3 linked regions of the Caenorhabditis elegans genome follow. The protein of the gene in region 2 purifies or fractionates together with the protein of the main gene of each other region. This does not show direct contact. Each region holds a gene or a part of one and is shown on either strand. Other genes may lie near its edges.

Evidence for each region. The genes of interacting proteins can lie anywhere in the genome.
Region 1: the proteins of mel-32 (region 2) and K07E3.4 fractionate together in Caenorhabditis elegans (co-fractionation; one large-scale study listed by BioGRID). This does not show direct contact.
Region 3: the proteins of mel-32 (region 2) and gst-26 fractionate together in Caenorhabditis elegans (co-fractionation; one large-scale study listed by BioGRID). This does not show direct contact.

The regions. Positions count from the first base shown.
Region 1 is NC_003284.9:8,079,418-8,086,683, forward strand, and holds K07E3.4 (formate--tetrahydrofolate ligase), read right to left. Parts: upstream 4,602-7,266; 5' UTR 4,487-4,601; coding exon 4,484-4,486; intron 3,986-4,483; exon of another isoform or gene 3,930-3,985; coding exon of another isoform or gene 3,927-3,929; intron 3,865-3,926; coding exon 3,766-3,864; intron 3,717-3,765; coding exon 3,260-3,716; intron 3,201-3,259; coding exon 2,947-3,200; intron 2,895-2,946; coding exon 1,946-2,894; intron 1,759-1,945; coding exon 1,598-1,758; 3' UTR 1,452-1,597; downstream 1-1,451. Other genes in the region: C46F2.1 (uncharacterized protein), read left to right, coding at 1-10, 56-183, 230-469; dao-3 (C-1-tetrahydrofolate synthase, cytoplasmic), read right to left, coding at 4,996-5,013, 5,363-5,580, 6,046-6,424, 6,547-6,720, 7,010-7,132.
Region 2 is NC_003281.10:6,438,695-6,445,041, forward strand, and holds mel-32 (Serine hydroxymethyltransferase), read right to left. Parts: upstream 4,122-6,347; coding exon 4,059-4,121; intron 3,174-4,058; coding exon 3,042-3,173; intron 2,997-3,041; coding exon 2,659-2,996; intron 2,611-2,658; coding exon 1,787-2,610; intron 1,735-1,786; coding exon 1,568-1,734; downstream 1-1,567. Other genes in the region: C05D11.1 (uncharacterized protein), read left to right, coding at 1-91, 139-698, 745-902, 959-1,154; C05D11.13 (Vicilin-like seed storage protein At2g18540), read right to left, coding at 4,421-5,090, 5,129-5,277; let-721 (Electron transfer flavoprotein-ubiquinone oxidoreductase, mitochondrial), read right to left, coding at 6,183-6,347. UniProt on the Caenorhabditis elegans protein: Interconversion of serine and glycine.
Region 3 is NC_003280.10:15,162,366-15,167,123, forward strand, and holds gst-26 (glutathione transferase), read right to left. Parts: upstream 2,189-4,758; 5' UTR 2,179-2,188; coding exon 2,040-2,178; intron 1,991-2,039; coding exon 1,500-1,990; 3' UTR 1,452-1,499; downstream 1-1,451. Other genes in the region: ptr-20 (SSD domain-containing protein), read left to right, coding at 1-132, 799-1,107; gst-27 (glutathione transferase), read right to left, coding at 2,575-3,065, 3,166-3,304; gst-28 (glutathione transferase), read right to left, coding at 3,906-4,396.

The DNA.
Region 1 (7,266 bases), on a different chromosome or scaffold from region 2:
GACGTTGAAAGTGAGTCTATATTTTAAATTTGTATAATTTTGTTTTTTTTTTCAGCAAAGGAGAAGTATCCTGTTGTTGTCAGAGGTAAAGATTTCGTTGTCTACCGCAAAAAGTTCAACGAAATAAATGGACTTATCATGTTTACGATAACCATAAGTTACTATGGTTGTTTTCCCTTGGGTGTATGTTTTGCAGTTTGAAATAGACAAAAAGAAACATGCTTTTTAGAGATCCTGCTATGCAATCACAGAATACCCAGGGACATTTAAAAAAGTGGTACCACACATCAATACTAAGAAACACACAACTCATCACAAACATCACTCAAATCATTCAACTATGCACCATGAATCACAAAAGCTCACATTCAAATCGCTCAACCTTCTTTCATTACCACACAAAAAAGATTGCACATGGACTAGTTTTCTTGATTTCTGGCCAATCAACAAATTAATTTATTCCGATTAAGCCAAGAAAAACTTGTTCAAACTCTTGTAACTGCAATAAGCCAATAATAACACTTTAATTGTATAAAGGAGGATGTCATATTATGAGAAACCCAAATAATACATTTCATCTGGTATATCTTAAATGTTCAATTTCTTTGCTTCATTCACAATTCCAAAAATGATTTATACTTGTTTGACAATTGTTCTGTCAGTCTACCACTTCCCATTTCCCCTATTAAATCCTGTAGCATTGCTACAACTGTTTCTTGCCAAAAACTTTTCAGCTATTATTTCATGTACTTTATTTTTATTCTTATTTTTACTCCTGCTGTGCCACTTTGTATGAAATGATTTCAACAAATAATTTTTTTCAGAATCATAAATTTCAGCATTTAAAGAAACAAACATGTCAGGCTACACGAAGGAAGAAAAAGTAAAAGTGCATTAGAAGATTTTATACTTGTTTTTTTAATCTTCAATGAAGCAACAGACATCTCAATTAAAAGCTTTTAAAAAATGTCAAAGGAAATTGCCAGAAAAACTAAAAATCTAAGTTTTTCAATACTAAATCCCCTTTTTCAAATATTTTCGAGCTAACTTACTTGCTACGATTTTCAACAAATAAGTATCTGTAAAAAAGTTTTGCATTGTCTTTTTTGATAGGAAGATATAAAAACAACAATGCAATTTCCATGTCAAAAATAATATGCATGGTCTTGATACAAACTGCAAAAAAAATTATTAAAAAAAAAGCATTACTACCCAAACTATTATATCCCGTTTTTAAGTAGAAATACTGAATAACCAATTTTTGGAAAAATGTATCATAGTTATGATACACAGATATTGTGTTGAGCTGATGAAAAAGTAATTGAATCCAGCAAATTTCAATTTCATAGCCAATCAACTGCTATGATCATATGATGACGTGACAACAGGAAAAACCGGGTTTTTTCTGAAATAACAGGTTTTCGGCAAATATGTCCTGGCAGACAGAAATATTTTTTTTAATTCAATTTTATTGGTCTTCAAAAAATATGCTCTTATATACTCTTTTTATTTACAATTTCAGTATTAAATTCTTATATAAAATCACAATGTTACGCATATCACAAATAATCTGTAGAAAGAAGTATGAAAGCATTGTTTAGAATAGCCCATCAATGATCTCAGTGACTGGGTCAATGGTGATGTCGTAGAAGCACGGACGAGTGTTGAGTCCTGGCATTGTGGTCATTTCACCAACCAATGGGTAAATGAATCCAGCTCCAACGGATGCACGCACGTCGCGAATCGGAAGTGTGAAACCTACAAAAACTCTATCTTGATTTGAAAATAGTTGTTTGAATAGTTTGGTAGGAAATTGTTTATGCATAGTCAATATCGAGTTTCATTAACCAATCATAATGTTGAACTTTTAGTACCTAAACTATAAACATTAAAACATCAACAGAGTGTTTATAATTGACCGGTATCTAATAATTTGATTTCTTACCAGTTGGAGCACCCTTCTTTGTTGGGTCTGATGAAAGGGACAAATGAGTTTTTGCCATACAAATTGGCAACTTCGAGAATCCCTGTCTTGTGTATCTTTCCAATTTCTGTTTGGCCTCGTCAGATAGTTCAATGCCATCAGCACCATAGATTTCTTTGGCGATAGTAGCGATCTTGTCTTCCAATGACAAATCCAGGTTGTAAAGGAATTTGAATTGCTTTGGATGTCCAGTTGTAGCATTGACCAGAGAATTGGCGAGAGCAACCGCACCAGCGCCTCCTTGTGACCAGTGTTCGGAAACCACTGCATCAAATGCTCCGTATTCCTTGGCCTTGGAGCAAACAAGTTCCAACTCCTTGTCGGTATCGGTTGCGAACTTGTTCACGCAGACAACAACAGGGATTCCAAATTTGTTTGCATTCTCAATCTGCTTTCTAAGATTTGAATCGCATCCTCCTTCAACAAGTGGAATGTTTTCGTCAAGGTATTCGTGTTTCAGTGGAGCTCCTGCTACAACAGATGGACCACCTCCATGCATCTTAAGAGCTCTTACAGTTGCTACAAGGACAACTGCTGATGGCTGAAGTCCCGAGTAACGGCACTTGATGTTGAAGAACTTCTCCATTCCGATATCGGCTCCGAATCCAGCTTCAGTGATCACAAATCCGTCGGGTCCGGCAAGTTTCAAAGCAACCTTGTCAGCAAGAATACTGCTTTGTCCATGTGCAATATTAGCGAAGGGTCCGGCATGGACAAAAACCGGAGTACCCTCCAAAGTTTGCATCAGGTTTGGGCGAACGGTGTCTCGCATAAGAACTGTCAAAGCCCCAGTTACTCCAATATCATCAGCGGTTACTGGATTGCCAGCCTTGTCGGATCCGATCACAATTCGTGCAATTCTTTCTTGCATATCAGCGAGAGAAGTTGTCAACGCAAGAATCGCCATGAGCTACAAATAAGAATTAATAAATTAAAATTGCCATGAAATTGTTTTGACTAACCTCACTAGCAACAGTAATATCAAACTGAGTAGTTCGGGTGTGTCCCTTCTCATTCGGTCCCATTCCAATTTCAATCTTTCTTAAGAATCTATCGTTCGTATCCATCACACGGTTCCAGGTGATAGTTGCAGGATCTATGTTGAGACGAGCAAAGCTAACTCTCTGCTCTTCGCTAAGATTTTCAGCATCATCTACACGTGGGATTCCAAGACGGTCGAGGCGACGAAGTTGGATCTCCGAAAGTGGGCGGACTCCTGAAAAGTAAGTATTAATGTATTTATTTCTATGCCATAAAAAGGGACTTCAAACAAACCCTTCTTGTTCTTTGGTGCCAATCTGTTGAATAGTGCATCAGTTGCTTGGGTTGACTCATGGAACATTCTAGCATCGATTGCAGCAGCAAGAAGATTATTGGCTGCAGTAATTGCATGGATATCTCCTGTCAAATGAAGATTGAACTCCTCCATCGGAATAACCTGAGAGTATCCTCCTCCAGCAGCTCCTCCTTTAATTCCAAACGTTGGTCCTTGCGATGGCTGGCGTACACATGCGAACACCTTTTTGTGAAGATGAGCTCCGAGAGCTTGAACTAGTCCGATTGTCGTTGTGGATTTTCCTTCTCCAAGAGGTGTTGGCGTAATACCAGCAACTACAACGTACTTTCCATTTTTAACCTCGCTCAGTCTATCCAAAATGTCAAGAGAAACCTTTGCCTTCTTGCGTCCATAAAGGTCAAGCTCTTCTTGTTTGATTCCAATTTCCCCAGCTACCTGAAAATAATGAAGATAAGTTTTTTTTAAATTAAATATTCTTGAGTGCCTTTTCGATGTCCTTTGGTGGTTGAGCTCTCGAAATAGCAATATCCGATGGAACAGGAGTTAACAGGGTGGGCTTCAAGTATTCAACATTCCATGTGCTCTGAAATAAAAAATAATTCAACGAAATTATAATGTTTGATTTGGAACATTTAATCGAATTACCATTCGGTCAAATTTGCGGCGCAAGCAGCGTGAAAAATTGAAAATTGAAGTTGATGAAAAGATAGAAATTGTGACTTAAATGTTTATGGGAACTTCGATCAAAAATTCTTATTTTTTTATATTTTGATTCTTATCAATCAATAAAATAGATTGACAATAGTGATAATGTTGCAATTCGCAACTTGACTTTAAAAAACGATAAAACGCACGGACAGGTTTATCAGAAGAAAGTAACATATTTTAGGTTTTCCAGAAATGTATGACAACATATCAAACTGGGACATATTAAGTTTTTATTAGTCAACATAAACAAAAAAGACGCTTTTTCAAGATTAATTTCTATGTACATATTAATTTAACAGATAATACTCTTTTTTTTATCTTCAGACTCTTTTTTTTTTTGAAAATGTATTTTTACAGTGTGGAGTTATTATACACAAGTTCTGTTTTTTTTGCTCACGCTCAAAACATGAACAAATTATTTTTGTTATTTTTGGAGTTTTCAAAATTGCATTTTCCGTTTAAAAATCAAATCCCAAAACGTTAGTGTTACTTACCATGTTTCACAATTCAAGAGAAACCAATGAATCAACGAAAATAAAAAGCGAGTGATTCAAACAACTGCAGAGCGATGGCCACTAAATACAAACACCTTGATAAGGCAGTGGGCAGAACAAGTAATCGAGTCAGTATCAGATATTAGGAGACGCACAGAAAACATGCACGGGGGGCATTTGCCGGGTCTGCCTTATTGATCGCGTCCTCTGATTTGTTCGATGTTGCGTCGCTCTCGTGCATCTAAACATCTAAACTAACCACGTGCATTTATCGCGAGACCATGGTCTTTTTACAAATCAGGGCTAATTGTGTCCTTGGTCATTGTTTATTTCGGTGGAAAGTGACAATAAAAAGAAAATACAAATTGAAAAGATTAGATTAAAAAAAGGTATGAAGAGGACTTCAAGTTCCAGAACGTCACAACAAATTTTAAAGAGTAAAAAGTCAAACCAAAAAGCACATTATAAATAGTTCATTCGCAAATGATGTGGTGGAAGTGGGTGCTTGAAGTTCACTCATCATCGTCATCCTGAAAAGTAGGTTCTGTGAAATACAACACTTACAAATATTTTTAACATATTTTCAATCGATTTTGTGTGAGGCACACTATAGTTGCAGAACAACTTTACATTCGGTGTAAATAATGAAGACAATGTCCATGAAATTTGCTTGTTTCGTAGAGTTTATCGCTCAATGAATTTTTGAAGTTCTTTGAGTCGATAACGTGCTATCGGTGTCTTTTGTAATTTTTGAAATAAACTCTGGTGCATCAGTATCAACCCCACACGCAAAACAAACTGTTTGGCACTATCCACGCTTAGGCCAGAACATCAAAAAACCTGCACAAACTTAGTGTCGCAAAAGGAAAGCTATTTTACCTTTTGTCCAAGACGTCGTCTCTTAGCCTGCTCAAATGTGTTACGGATGAGCATGGCAACAGTCATTGGTCCAACGCCTCCGGGGACAGGTGTGAGGAATCCGGCGACTTCCTTTGCGGCTTCTGTGTCAACATCTCCGTAAATTTTGCGTGAGTTTGGGTCGTCACCAACGTTGATTCCACAGTCGATGACGAATGCGCCAGGCTTGATCCAATCAGCTGAAATATATGCTTTTATTTGTAAAAAACGCTGACACTTATCAGAACAGAGAGTCTGTTTCTATTTGATGCAAAACAATTCAGAAGTTGCAAACAGTCAGGTGCATACTAAACATTGATAGTTCTTAAATTGGGGTTTCTATTATAGATATTTTGCATAATTTAATGACTTACAAACTTTTAGGTTAGCAAGTAAATACCGTGCTGCTCATATAAAGGTCTACTCGTAATAACTTTTGCCAAGATTCTTCTTTTAAATGGATTTGGGCGTAATTATGAAAAAAGCAACGCGAAATTTGTTCAATGATGAATTCCAAAAAATCAGGATATAAAAACTTTCACTATTTTACTATAGTCAGATCTCAGCTCGGAATAACCACGTTTGCTGAAGTTGAAATCAATCTTTTGATATCTGTATGGCCAGTACTGTGCACTATCTCAAATTTAGGTTTATTGATAATCTACCTTTGACGAAATGTTTTCTCCCAATTGCCACAATCAAAATATCTGCTCTCAGGCATTTCTCCTTGAGATTTGGAGTTTTTGAGTGGCAGATTGTCACAGTTCCATGATGCCACAAGAAAAGCGCAGCGGCTGGAGATCCGACAATTTTCGAGCGTCCCAAAACAACCACCTCCTTTCCAGACACAAAGTTGGCATCACCAGTTGCCTGTTGAACCAAGTACAAGCATCCAAACGGAGTGCAAGGAAAGATCGTACGCTGGAGTTCTCCACGAGCCAAACGTCCAGCATTGATACGAGTCAGTCCATCGACATCTTTCAATGGGTCAATCAAGTCGATAACAGAGTCTGCGTCGATTTCGTGCTTGCAGTCCAGTGGAAGCTGAAATTAATAACTTGCTATTATTGTTTAGCTTCCGATGTTTTTTTTTAATTAACTGAGATGTGTTTTTTTTCCGTTATAAGTTAACATTTCAATATTACAACTTAATCCGTTATATTAACCTGAATGATAATTCCGTCAATCTCGTTGTCATGATTAAGAGCCATAATCTCTCGCTTCAAATCTCCTTGAGTGATGGTGTCTGGCAACTTAATGAGTTTTCCATCTGCTCCGATTTCCTTTGCTTTTTTCAGTTTGGAATTAATGTACACATTGGAGTCTGAACGATTTCCAACCTGCAAATTTTGAGACTTTGAGTTATTCAGTATAACAGATATCCCCTCGGATATTATTTGTCTTGTTACGAAATAAAAGCCGGTATCTCAAAAGTACACCACAACTACAAATTACGCTCTGCAAAACTTTCAAAATCTGTTTTGTAAGTATGCAATGCACTTATGTACGTCATGAACTCAAAACACAGATTGGACAGAGATTTTCATTTTCATATATTCAATTTAGAAATATTATTAAGTTAATAGCAATGCTTGAAATAAAATTATTATCAGTGGTAAGCTTTCATACCTGAACAATTGCCAATACTGCATGAAAATTTGGGTGGTGCTCACGGGTTTTTGCGATTTTCTGTCCGACATCGTGAAGAACCTTTTTTGAGTACTCGAGTCCACTGACGATCTCCGCGACCATTCTAAAAAATAAACAAAGTAATAATCAAGTTGAAAAATACGTCAAGAAAACAAGAAGGGGAAGAGTAAAGGAAAAGAGTACGAAACTCCTCTTGTACTTGGCTATTCATGGGAAGAGACTAGTGCAGAAGTCAG
Region 2 (6,347 bases):
GCTCAAAAGTTGGCTGGAGAAGCTCGTGATCGGAAGAGAGATGGATGTACTGTGGCATCAACTGCAGTAGCTTCAATGGTTTATGGAAAGAGTATGTTATTTCTATACTAAAAATTTAAGTGCATTCATATTTTACAGATACCAATTGCATTCTCTTCGATGAACTTGTGTTGGAGAAGCTTCATGAAAAAATATCGAAGGATGTGATGAAGAATCCCGAAGCAGTCCTTGAAAAGCTTGAACAAGTTCGTAGTGCTCTTTTCTCAAACGGAGTGAATGCTCATTTTGTTGCTGACGTTGATTCAATTGATCCGAAAATGTTGAGTTCCGATCTTTGGACCTGGGTACAAGCTGATCCAAGATTCGGACCTGGACATCAATTCTCAGCTGAAGCTGGTGAAAACGTATCACTTGAGCTCGGAAAGGAACTTCTCATCGGAGTTGGTGGATCCGAGTCTTCATTCATCTATCAAACAAGCTTCCTTGATGCTAACTGGAATTCAGAGGAGTTGATTCCAGCAATGATCTTTGGACAATATCTCTCTCAGTGTGAAGGTCCATTGTGGCGTGCAATTCGTGGAGATGGACTTGCCTATGGAGCTAACGTATTTGTGAAACCCGATCGGAAGCAAATCACTTTGAGTCTCTACAGATGCGCTCAGCCAGCAGTGGCTTATGAGAGAACCAGAGATATTATTGTAAGTAGAAAAAAATAAGTTTCGTTAAAATAACTTTAAATTTCAGCGCAAAATCGTCGAGAGCGGTGAAATCTCCAAAGCAGAATTTGAGGGAGCAAAGAGATCAACTGTGTTCGAGATGATGAAGCGTGAAGGAACTGTGAGTGGAGCTGCAAAGATCAGCATTCTCAATAATTTCCGTCAAACTCCCCATCCATTCAATATGTGAGTTTACTGAAAACATTCTAAGACTAGGAAAGTATCAACTTCCGCGATTTCAGTGATCTGTGTCGCCGTATCTGGAATCTGACATCGGAAGAGATGGTTAAGATCGGCGGACCACCACTGGCTCGTCTTTTCGATGAGAAGTGCTTTGTCCGTTCAATTGCTGTTCATCCATCAAAACTCAATGAGATGAAGAAGGCATTCCCAGGAAGTAGCAAGATCAAGATTTCGGACTTGCAGTTTGCATGCTAGTTTGCCTGTTCTTTTATATTCTTATTATTCTTCCATCATTTCCCCGTTTGTTGGCTCTGGTTTTATTTATTTCTTTCGGTAGCTTGTTTTGTTAAATAAAGTTCTGGTCTGATTTGAATTAAACACAAATGGAAAAAAGTCGGTGAACGTTGCATTAAACAGCTACCCCAAACATCACTGTGAGAGAACTGTAGAAGGGTCCAGATGTGTGCGGCATTCAGAAAATTCAGCATACGGCTTATGCCAAATGCCGTAGATAATCTCAATTGCTTTCTAAATATAAAAAAACAATTAAATTTGAAAAGATCAATATTTATTTCTCCTGTTTAAAATTCAAACATGAAAGTGATAAAATGGCGGGAATGTTTTTATAAATACAAATGCAATGTTGATAATGACGATGATGATTAAAATTAGAAAGTTTCGTTTCCTGGAATCTCGAACTTCGTGGAGAACTCCTCAACACGTTTGGCGAGATCAGCGACGTCTTTCTTGAATGGTTCATTGGTCTCAGTGAATGATTTGAAGTCTTTCAATGTCTTTCCAGCCTCAGCATTGTACTTCTTTGCGATTTGAACACCTGAAATCAATATTTTAGATTAATGTTGAAGATTACAGTTGAAAAAACATACCCTCATGAATGAAATCTCCGACTTTCTCGAAATCTTGCTCCTGGAATCCACGGGAGGTGAGAGCTGGAGTTCCGAGACGAATGCCTCCTGGTCTCAAAGCAGAAACGTCTCCTGGGCACGTATTCTTGTTGCAAGCAATATGAGCGAGATCAAGCACATGCTCAGCACGAGCTCCTTCAACTCCGATTGGGCGCAAGTCAACAAGCAACAAATGATTGTCGGTTCCTCCGGTTGCCAAAGCATATCCATGCTTCTTCATTCTCTCGGCCAAGGTTTTGGCATTCTTCAACACTTGCTCTCCGTACTGAACAAAATCTTCAGAAAGGCATTGTCTCAAAGCAACGGCAATTCCAGCAATAGTGTGATTGTGTGGTCCACCTTGAAGTCCTGGGAACACGGCCGAGTTGATCTTCTCCTCCAAATCATACAAAGTGTCAACTCCCTTTGCGTTGGTAGATCGGACACCCTTTCTGTAGAAGATCAAAGCTCCACGTGGTCCTCTGAGCGACTTGTGCGTCGTTGTGGTTACAACATCAGAATACTCGAATGGTGATGGGATAAGTCCAGCGGCAACAAGTCCGGAGATGTGAGCCATATCAGACATCAAATAGGCTCCAGCCTTTGTGGCAATCTTACGGAAACGTTCATAATCGAGATGACGAGCGTAGCAGGAAACTCCGGCAATGATGGCTTTTGGACGGAAAAGCATTGCATTCTGCTCAAGCTTGTCATAGTCGATCAATCCAGTTGTTGGATCAACCTTGTATGGAAGAGACTGGAAGAATTCAGAAGTCGCAGAGACTTTGCGAGCTGGGGTGAAGAATCTGAAATTAAATGTATAATTCATTCGAGTCTAATCTAGATAACCTTACCCATGAGTCAAATGACCTCCATCTGGAAGATCGAGGCCCATAATGCGTCCATTGGATCCAACGATGGCAGTGTAGACTGCGAAATTGGCTGGTGATCCGGACAATGGCTGCACATTGACTCCCCACTTGGCTGGATCAAGTCCGAATACCTCAAGAGCTCTCTTCTGGCAAAGGAGCTCCATCTGATCGATGAACTCATTTCCTCCGTAATACCGAGCTCCAGGGTATCCTTCACTGTATTTGTTGCACATTGCCGAGCCAAGAGCATCCATAACAGCCTTGCTTGTGAAGTTCTCGGAAGCGATGAGCTCAAGTCCACGACGCTGCCGCTTCTTCTCCTGAAAAAAACAAATGACTAAGATTTGAGAAACATTAAGTCTTACATTTTTCATGATATCGAAAACTTCTGGATCAACTTTCTCAACATGGTCCACCAAAATGTTCTCGTTGTTGGTGTACTTGTGGCGCTGAACTTTAGCCAATGGTGTGTGCACTTGACGATCAGCCATTTTACACTGTAAAACCAAATTAAATTAAGCAAAGAAGCGAAAAAATCGGGAACATATTCAACACAAAAGCTGACGCGTTGGCAACACGTATATGCATGGGAAAGTGTGGAGAAAATAAGAATAAAACTGGATTCGCGGTAGGCTATGATGATATCTGAACCGGGAAGTTTTCGAGATTGGGCGCATCCCGGATCGTAGATCAAAACTGATAAGTCAAAAGTTACTCATTAGAAATTGTAATTAAAGAGGTATTCGAGCGTGGTTTTAACAAGTGTACACTAACTTAGTAATAAAAACAAAAAAGTGGTCTCTAATAACAAAAATATAATGCAGATAACTTTCAAATGCAAACACAAAACATTGCTACAGAAAACTATGCAAAGAAACCATTTAAAACAAGTGCAAACGATACTGCAGCGTGTACATGTGTTATTCAGAACTGCAAAAAGAAACAACGGAGCAAGACATTTTCACAGCTTATGGTAAAAATATACGCGGAGAAAATAGAGAACTACGATTATCAATGCAACATCACAGAGATGATCATTAAAAATAAAAATAAAGAAGTGAATAGAGTTTATCAGTTACCAAGTTGTTATCAAAGCAACAAAAGCGGCGCCTGTGGGTCAATGTCAACGATATTTCTATTGCTGGACAAGTCGGAGACAAGCCCGAGATAACTGAGTGAAAGGCGGAAAATGGCAAGATATTATGATGAAGATCACTTTCTGATCAGAAACAACGAGTGAACCATGGACGGTGCCGTTTTGGGAATGAAAATGGGGAGAGAAAAGCAAATTGCAACTTTGAGCGGGCAAAATTTTTACAAATTCAAATATTCGCGCCATGCGTATTTTACAACTGATCCCACGCGAAAGTGCACACACAAACCTGGGAGCTGGCTCCGGCAAATAATCCAGTTGCTGCTCTTCTGCTCACTATCCTTGCAAACATTTTGTGCCTGAAAATATTAAAATAACAAATAAAATTCTAGAACTTCAGAATAAATGTGTTAAAACAGAAATCGACTATCGATCAGACCACTGATCGTTATCAGTCTTATCAGTTTCTCTGTTTTGTTGCAAACAAGAGATGAAACTTGCCGTTTTTATTGCGATTCAACAGAATTTAAAGACTGATAGGTGGAAATGAGCGGACCGTTGATTCAAAAAATTAATACGATTTTATCGGTTTTAAAAGCAAAAGGTCAAACAACAAACTACTTATTTATTAAAAAAATTTTCAATTAATTTTTATAGACCCGAAAGAGTTCCATCGCTCAATGATCCCGTGATGACTGCAAGTGATTCTTCACTTTGCCCTGCTTGCTTCAAAATTCGATTTTGACGTTTTCGTGCAGCATCTTGGATTTTCCTAGCTGATTTTTGCTCTGAAGTCTCCGTCTGCAAATATTGCCGTCTTCTTGCTGCATCACGCTGTCGCCGATTTTCAGCTTCCTCTGGTGTTTCATTCTTAATAGCATCCCGACGTCTCTGAGCATTCTTGGCTCTACGCAATTCAGCTTCTTCTGGAGTTTCAGCCAGGAGACTCTTCCTTCTCCGTTCCGCATCCTTATTCCTTCTTTCCTGAGCTTTTTCGAATGACTCCCTTTGCAGATACTGGCGTCGATGCTCTGCAGCCTTTATTCTTCGATTATTTGCCTGATCTTCCGACTCTTGCATTCTTTCCATTTTTTTTCTTTCAGCTTGCCTTTTCAATCGTTCTCTATATTCTTCTTCTGTCTCTTCTGAGCATCTCTTCCTTTTATAGTCTGCAGCCTTGGCAAGACGTGTGTGAGTCTCCTCTGATGTTTCACGAGCTCTTCTCAGACGTTTCCGATGTGCTTCTTTGGAGAGTCTGCATTCTCTAGATCCTTCTTGAGGTTCGGATGAACTTGGAATATCCGTAATATGAGGTCTGAAACTTAAAAAAAATTTTAATATGCTATTTACTACTCTTACTCATCACTTGAACCAGGTAAAAATGTTGCTATAAAATTCTGAATTGTTTCTTCTAGGCCAGCATTTTGTGGACTTTCAGATTTATTCCCATTACTCTTCTCATCTTCTTCTTCGTCTTCGACAATATTTTTGCAATCTTTTCTACTCATTCTGAACTTACAAATATACATTAATTTTTCAGAAAACTTGAAAATCTACATTACTAAATACACAGACAGAGGTTTTGCGACTCCTGCGCCAAGAATACGGTGCCGATTCTCGACACGACATGTTTTAGTTAAATGAGAAAAACTTGTGCGCCTTCAAGGAGTACTGTAATTTTTTAATCTAGTTGGTGTGGAACCGTTCATGATTTTTCATACTTTTCTTACGTTCTGTTAAAATTCGTGTTTTTTTTTGAGTTTTCAATAGTTAAGGATGTTTTTCATCGGAATACGATGGAAAATCGATGAACATTCCGCAACTACAAAAGTTTGTAATTAAAGTACTCTCCAAAGGTGTGCACCGTTTTGAAATTATCACATTAAAAAAAATATCATGTCGAGACTGGGTACCGTTTTTGGCGCAAAAATCTCAAAATTACGCGTCGGAGTAATAAGAAAAATATAAATAAGGCTCAAAGAAAACAGGAGAATCGATGACGGCTTTCTGTGTGTCTGTGTGTCTTCATATCTTCATTGTCGGTGTTTCTGTGTGTATGTCTGTCCAGAGACAAACATACACGAGCGCAGACGTCTTGTTTGATTATCTGCGTCTCTTCTTCTATACAACACTTTGCAATCTTTTCAGAAAAGGATACTGTAGTGGGATGAATGTATATATGTACCACAATTATGGCAATATTGAAGCTTTTCCGTTCAAGTACACACTAATCAGAAATCTATTCATTTGGTTTGGATAAAAATGTAATGGCATTACAAAAGATGGGGAACACGAAAATGAGAGAAAATTGAGAGAAACCGTTGAAGAACAGAAATACATAATCTACGAGTCGATAGTGGCGAATAAATAAGTACAAAAATTATACACAAACATAAACGAGAAGCTAAAGGATTCACATTCCCTCGTATTTTGGGCCACCACCTCCTTCTGGTGTAACCCAGTTAATGTTTTGTTGAGGATCCTTGATGTCGCATGTCTTGCAGTGAATGCAATTTTGAGCATTGATTTGGAGACGCTTCTTTGATTCATCAGCTTCGGATGGGACGAATTCATAGAC
Region 3 (4,758 bases), on a different chromosome or scaffold from region 2:
GTTGTGTACCTCCATTTATGGAATGTGAATCTCGATGCAGTTTCACTGATATCTATGCTAATGTCAATTGGATTTTCCGTGGACTATTCGGCTCATGTTTGCTATCACTACTTTGCTCATGTGCATGAGGATGTAAGGATTTTTCAGCTTAGTGTGAGGGTATCGTAGTGGTACTATAGTAGTACTGTATGACTACTGTAGGGGCACTGTAGGAGTAGTGTAGGAGTTCTTCTGTGGTACTGTGGGAGCACTGTAGTTCTGTAAAAAAATAGTTTCAAAAAACTTAATCTACAGTAGTCTAAAATACAGTAACCTGGGATTCCGTTTCTACGAGGAATCTCCGTTTCATAAAGAATCACAACACTAAAAGTTGTGTGTGGCTGACTTAAATTAGCTCTACAGTAATCCCATCAAGCTAAGCCACTTATTAAGACGCCCGAGCTACAGTACCCCTTACTGTACTGGCATTCTAGTCAAATACTATACTATAAAATTGAAACATGCATTAACCCTACAGTACCCTAATCTATGATCTTATTTTTAAACTATTGTACCATCACGTGGTGTCAGAGAGTCCCATTTCGGTTTGAAATACGTAGATCTACAAAAAATGCGGGAGTTGAGACGCAGAGATTTCAACTGATTTTCAACACATTTCTCTTGGCGAAATATCCCCGCATTTTTTTTGTAGATCAAACCGTAATGGGACAGCCCCACACGATGTTTACATACTTCACACTACATCCACCATACCAAACAACCGTACCCCATTTTCAAACCAACTTCATATTTTTCTAGGAGCAACTCTGGAGATCACATAACTACGCCGAGACTCGTGACCGTCTTCTAAGCACCTTCCGCGGAGTCGCCTGGCCAGTAATGCAGTCCGGGCTCTCCACGATTCTTGGCATGTTCCCATTGATGTTTGTACGTGCGTATGTTGTAGCAGTATTCTGGAAGACTGTGATCCTGGTCGGTATACTTGGAATGCTTCATGCTCTCATTCTGTTGCCAGTAATATTCATTTTAACGCATGACATTAAGCTCTTATTCCGACGGAAACGTGCAGTTGCTCCTACTCCGCATTCGATGGAATTGGCTTCATAGAGCGTTTTGTTGTAGTTTGTATGTTTTTTTGAAAACCCAGGGTATTTTCTTTTCCATTGATTGTATTATCATCTAATACGGGTTGTTCACATCTCCATTGATTGTTTGATAACATGTTTGAAATAAAATTTTCGTACTCAATAGTAAAACAGTACACAGCTCTATGTTTTAGGTTACATATGAGTATGAAATAAATGAAAAGAGTGGTTCGAAGCACTTGAGAATTATCTTCGGTACTCAAGCAGCACTGTTACTGTAGCGAACAGAACTATGAAATTTTTAGAAAATTAAATTACACTAGTGAATTTATATTCCCACAATAATTTGAATTTTTACAAGGAGATATTAAAACTATTTATTGTATTCAATTATCAAACAATTTACAACAAACTTTAGTACTGAGTATCTGGGCGAATCTCGACCCACTTCTTGATAGCTGGAATCGCATAGACCTTCTCCCGAAGAGCAACCAACTTTGGCTCTCCCGCTGGAGTGAATAACTGATTTTTGTCCAAAGTTGTGATGCACTCCACAACTACAATATCGGCAAAAGTGAGCCCATCTCCAACCAAGAATCCTGACTTGCTCTTCTCCAGGATCCCATTGATGATTACGAAGAATGCATCTCTAGCCGGAACGACATCTGATTGCATGATCTTTGCAATCTCCTCAGCTGGCTTTCCAGCGGCATGTGCTTTTCCGACTTCTCTGAAGGATCCCATGAAATCCTTGAATTGGTCAACGATGGCATCTGCCCAAGCTTGCTCTTCCGGGGTTTTTCCAGCATATCCAAATTTATTGGCAAGATAGCGGATGATTGCAGCAGATTGTGGAATTTCAAATCCATCGACGGATAGGACCGGGACTTGTCCGAGTGGAGTTTCTGAAATACTTACTTTGAGTTTAGTGTTTGCCACATATAAATGACCTACTTTCTTTCAGCTTTTCCCATGTTCCATCTCCATGGGTCATACGGAAATCCTCAAATGGAACATCGGCAAGATGGAAGAGAATACGAGCAGCTTCTCCGTAGCCACGAGCGTTGAAATAGGTGAGTTTGTAGGAAGGCATAGTGATCTGTCTGTTTTAAATATAGGTATGTGTGATAGTGTGATTCCGATATCAAACAATTTTTCGAAATAGCATTGGAAAAATGCAGTCTTTCCGCATAGTCTTATCAAATATTTGACAGAAAAAGTCAAACCATGATTAATTTTTACAAAGTATTTCAGAGAAAAATAACAATTTAAGGTCAATTGTACAATTTTAAAAAATGTATCCTGGACCATAAAATTTTTTTAACTGTAAAATTGAACAGAACTGAGTTTAGCTTCAATCTAGATAGAAAAATAAAGTTAAAAATAGAATTAACACGTTCAGAATTAACGTATTTGAAAATAAAATGAGATTACATGAACATAACATAACGATTTATTGAATTAATATATCAGCACATTTAAAACAAACCTAGTTCAGGGTATCTGGACGAATCTCAACCCATTTCTTTATTGCTGGAATCGCATATACCTTCTCTCGAAGCGCGACCAATTTTGGTTGCTCCGATGCAGTGAAGAGCTGATGTTTGTCCAAAGTTGTGATGCATTCCACAATCACAATATCTGCGATGGTTAGACCATCTCCAACTAAAAATCCGGACTTGCTCTTCTCAAGGATCTTGTTGATTATCACAAAGAATGCATCTCTTGCCGGAACGAGATCTGACTGGATGATCTTCCCGACCTCCTCGGCAGACTTTCCAGCAGCGCTTGCTTTTCCCACTTCTTTGATTGATACCATAAAATCCTTGTATTGATCGACGATAGCATCAGTCCAGGCTTGCTCCTCCGGGGTTTTTCCAGCATATCCGAATTGCTTGGCAAGGTAGCGGTTGATTGCAGCGGATTGTGGAATTTCAAATCCATCAACTGATAAGACTGGGGCTTGTCCAAATGGAGTTTCTAAATAGAAACAAAAAATAATGTTCAATTTCTGTCTTGGCTACTTTATTTCAGTTTTTTTTAAATTTTAATATGGCGTTTCAAGGTCGCTATTACTTACTGGCTTTGAGATTTTCCCATGTTCCATCTCCAATGGTCATTCGGAAATCTTCAAATGGAACATCGGCAAGATGGAACAGAATACGAGCTGGTTCTCCATATCCACGCACGTTAAAATAGGTCAGCTTGTAGGATGGCATTTTAGTTAAATGAAAACCACAACCAGACAGTTTTCTTGTGTGATTCTGCAAGCAAAATGATTGGGAAAAATTCCTCCGCAAAGTGTTATCAAACTGTCGTGGAGATCAATAAACCAAAAACCAAGAAATGGATGGGGGGGGGGGGGGGGAGGTGGGAGAAGAGTCAATAAAAATTCGGACGGAGAGTCAATAAAATCCAAAATTCTACTTTAAGTTAAAATAAAAAATGTCGAACGAGGTAAAGTGCCCGCAATCCAATGAACGATAATCGAAGGAGTGGACATCATTCCGTTTTCTATTCGCCTCTTCCATGCACTTGCAATAAACAGAACTTGCAAGTGTTTGGTAGAGAGGCGGTGAGAGGGCACGAACCTGTGGCAGTCGGAACGAGAGACCAACTCGTTATCCAGCAGGCCACGCGTGCACTTGGCAGAAACGGTGTTGTTGAGAATGATGTTGAGTGCGGGTTTTAGAGGAAGAAGGCAGCTGCGATTGAGAGGAAAATTGCAAATAAGAATGCAAATAGTGGTGCATTTTAAAAATTTATTCGAATTTGTAATTATATTACTTCATTGAACAAAATTTCAAGAAAATTTTCGATTTAGTACTGAGTATCTGGACGAGCCTCTACCCACTTCCTGATAGCTGGAATTGCATAGACCTTCTCTCGAAGAGCAGCCAAGTTTGGTTGCTCCGAAGCAACAAACAATTGATTTTTCTCCAAAGTAGTAATATTCTCAGAGATGACAATGTCCGCGAAGGTGATACTGTCGCCGACTAGGAATCCTGACTTGCTCTTTTCAAGAAGCCCATTGAGAATCTTAAAGTACGAATCTCTAGCTGGAATCACTACTTCAGAAGTGATCTTTGCAATTTCTTCCTGAGATTTTCCAGCGAAATGTGCCATGATACGTTCGCGGAATGATCCCATGAAATCCTTGAACTGATCAACGATGGCATCTGCCCAAACCTGCTCTTCTGGGGTTTTTCCAGCATATCCGAATTTGTTGGCAAGGTAGCGGATTATTGCAGCAGATTGTGGGATATCAAATCCATCAACGGTCAGGTAAGGTACTTGACCAAATGGGGCGCCTGAAAAAATATATATATGTGAGTAAGTATTTGGAGCATTCTAAAAATTTCAAAATTTTCAGAAATTTTCCAAAAAGCTCCAGAAGTTGTAAAAGTTTCTAGAAAAAAATTTTTAGATTAAAATTCGAATCCCATCCAAAACTTCATCGTGAAAAATAATGTTTTTTTTATTGTGAATTTCCCGCTAAAAAAGTTTCGAAACAATTACATATACATAGCCCTAAAACTATTTTATAAAAAAAATTGATTTTTCCGGCGAAATTTTTTAAATAATTTTTTGTTTTAATTTGGAATGCCTTTTTTACGAAAAATGATGCCTACAATTTTTTGAAAAAAATTTAACCCATCCAAGACCGTGTGCT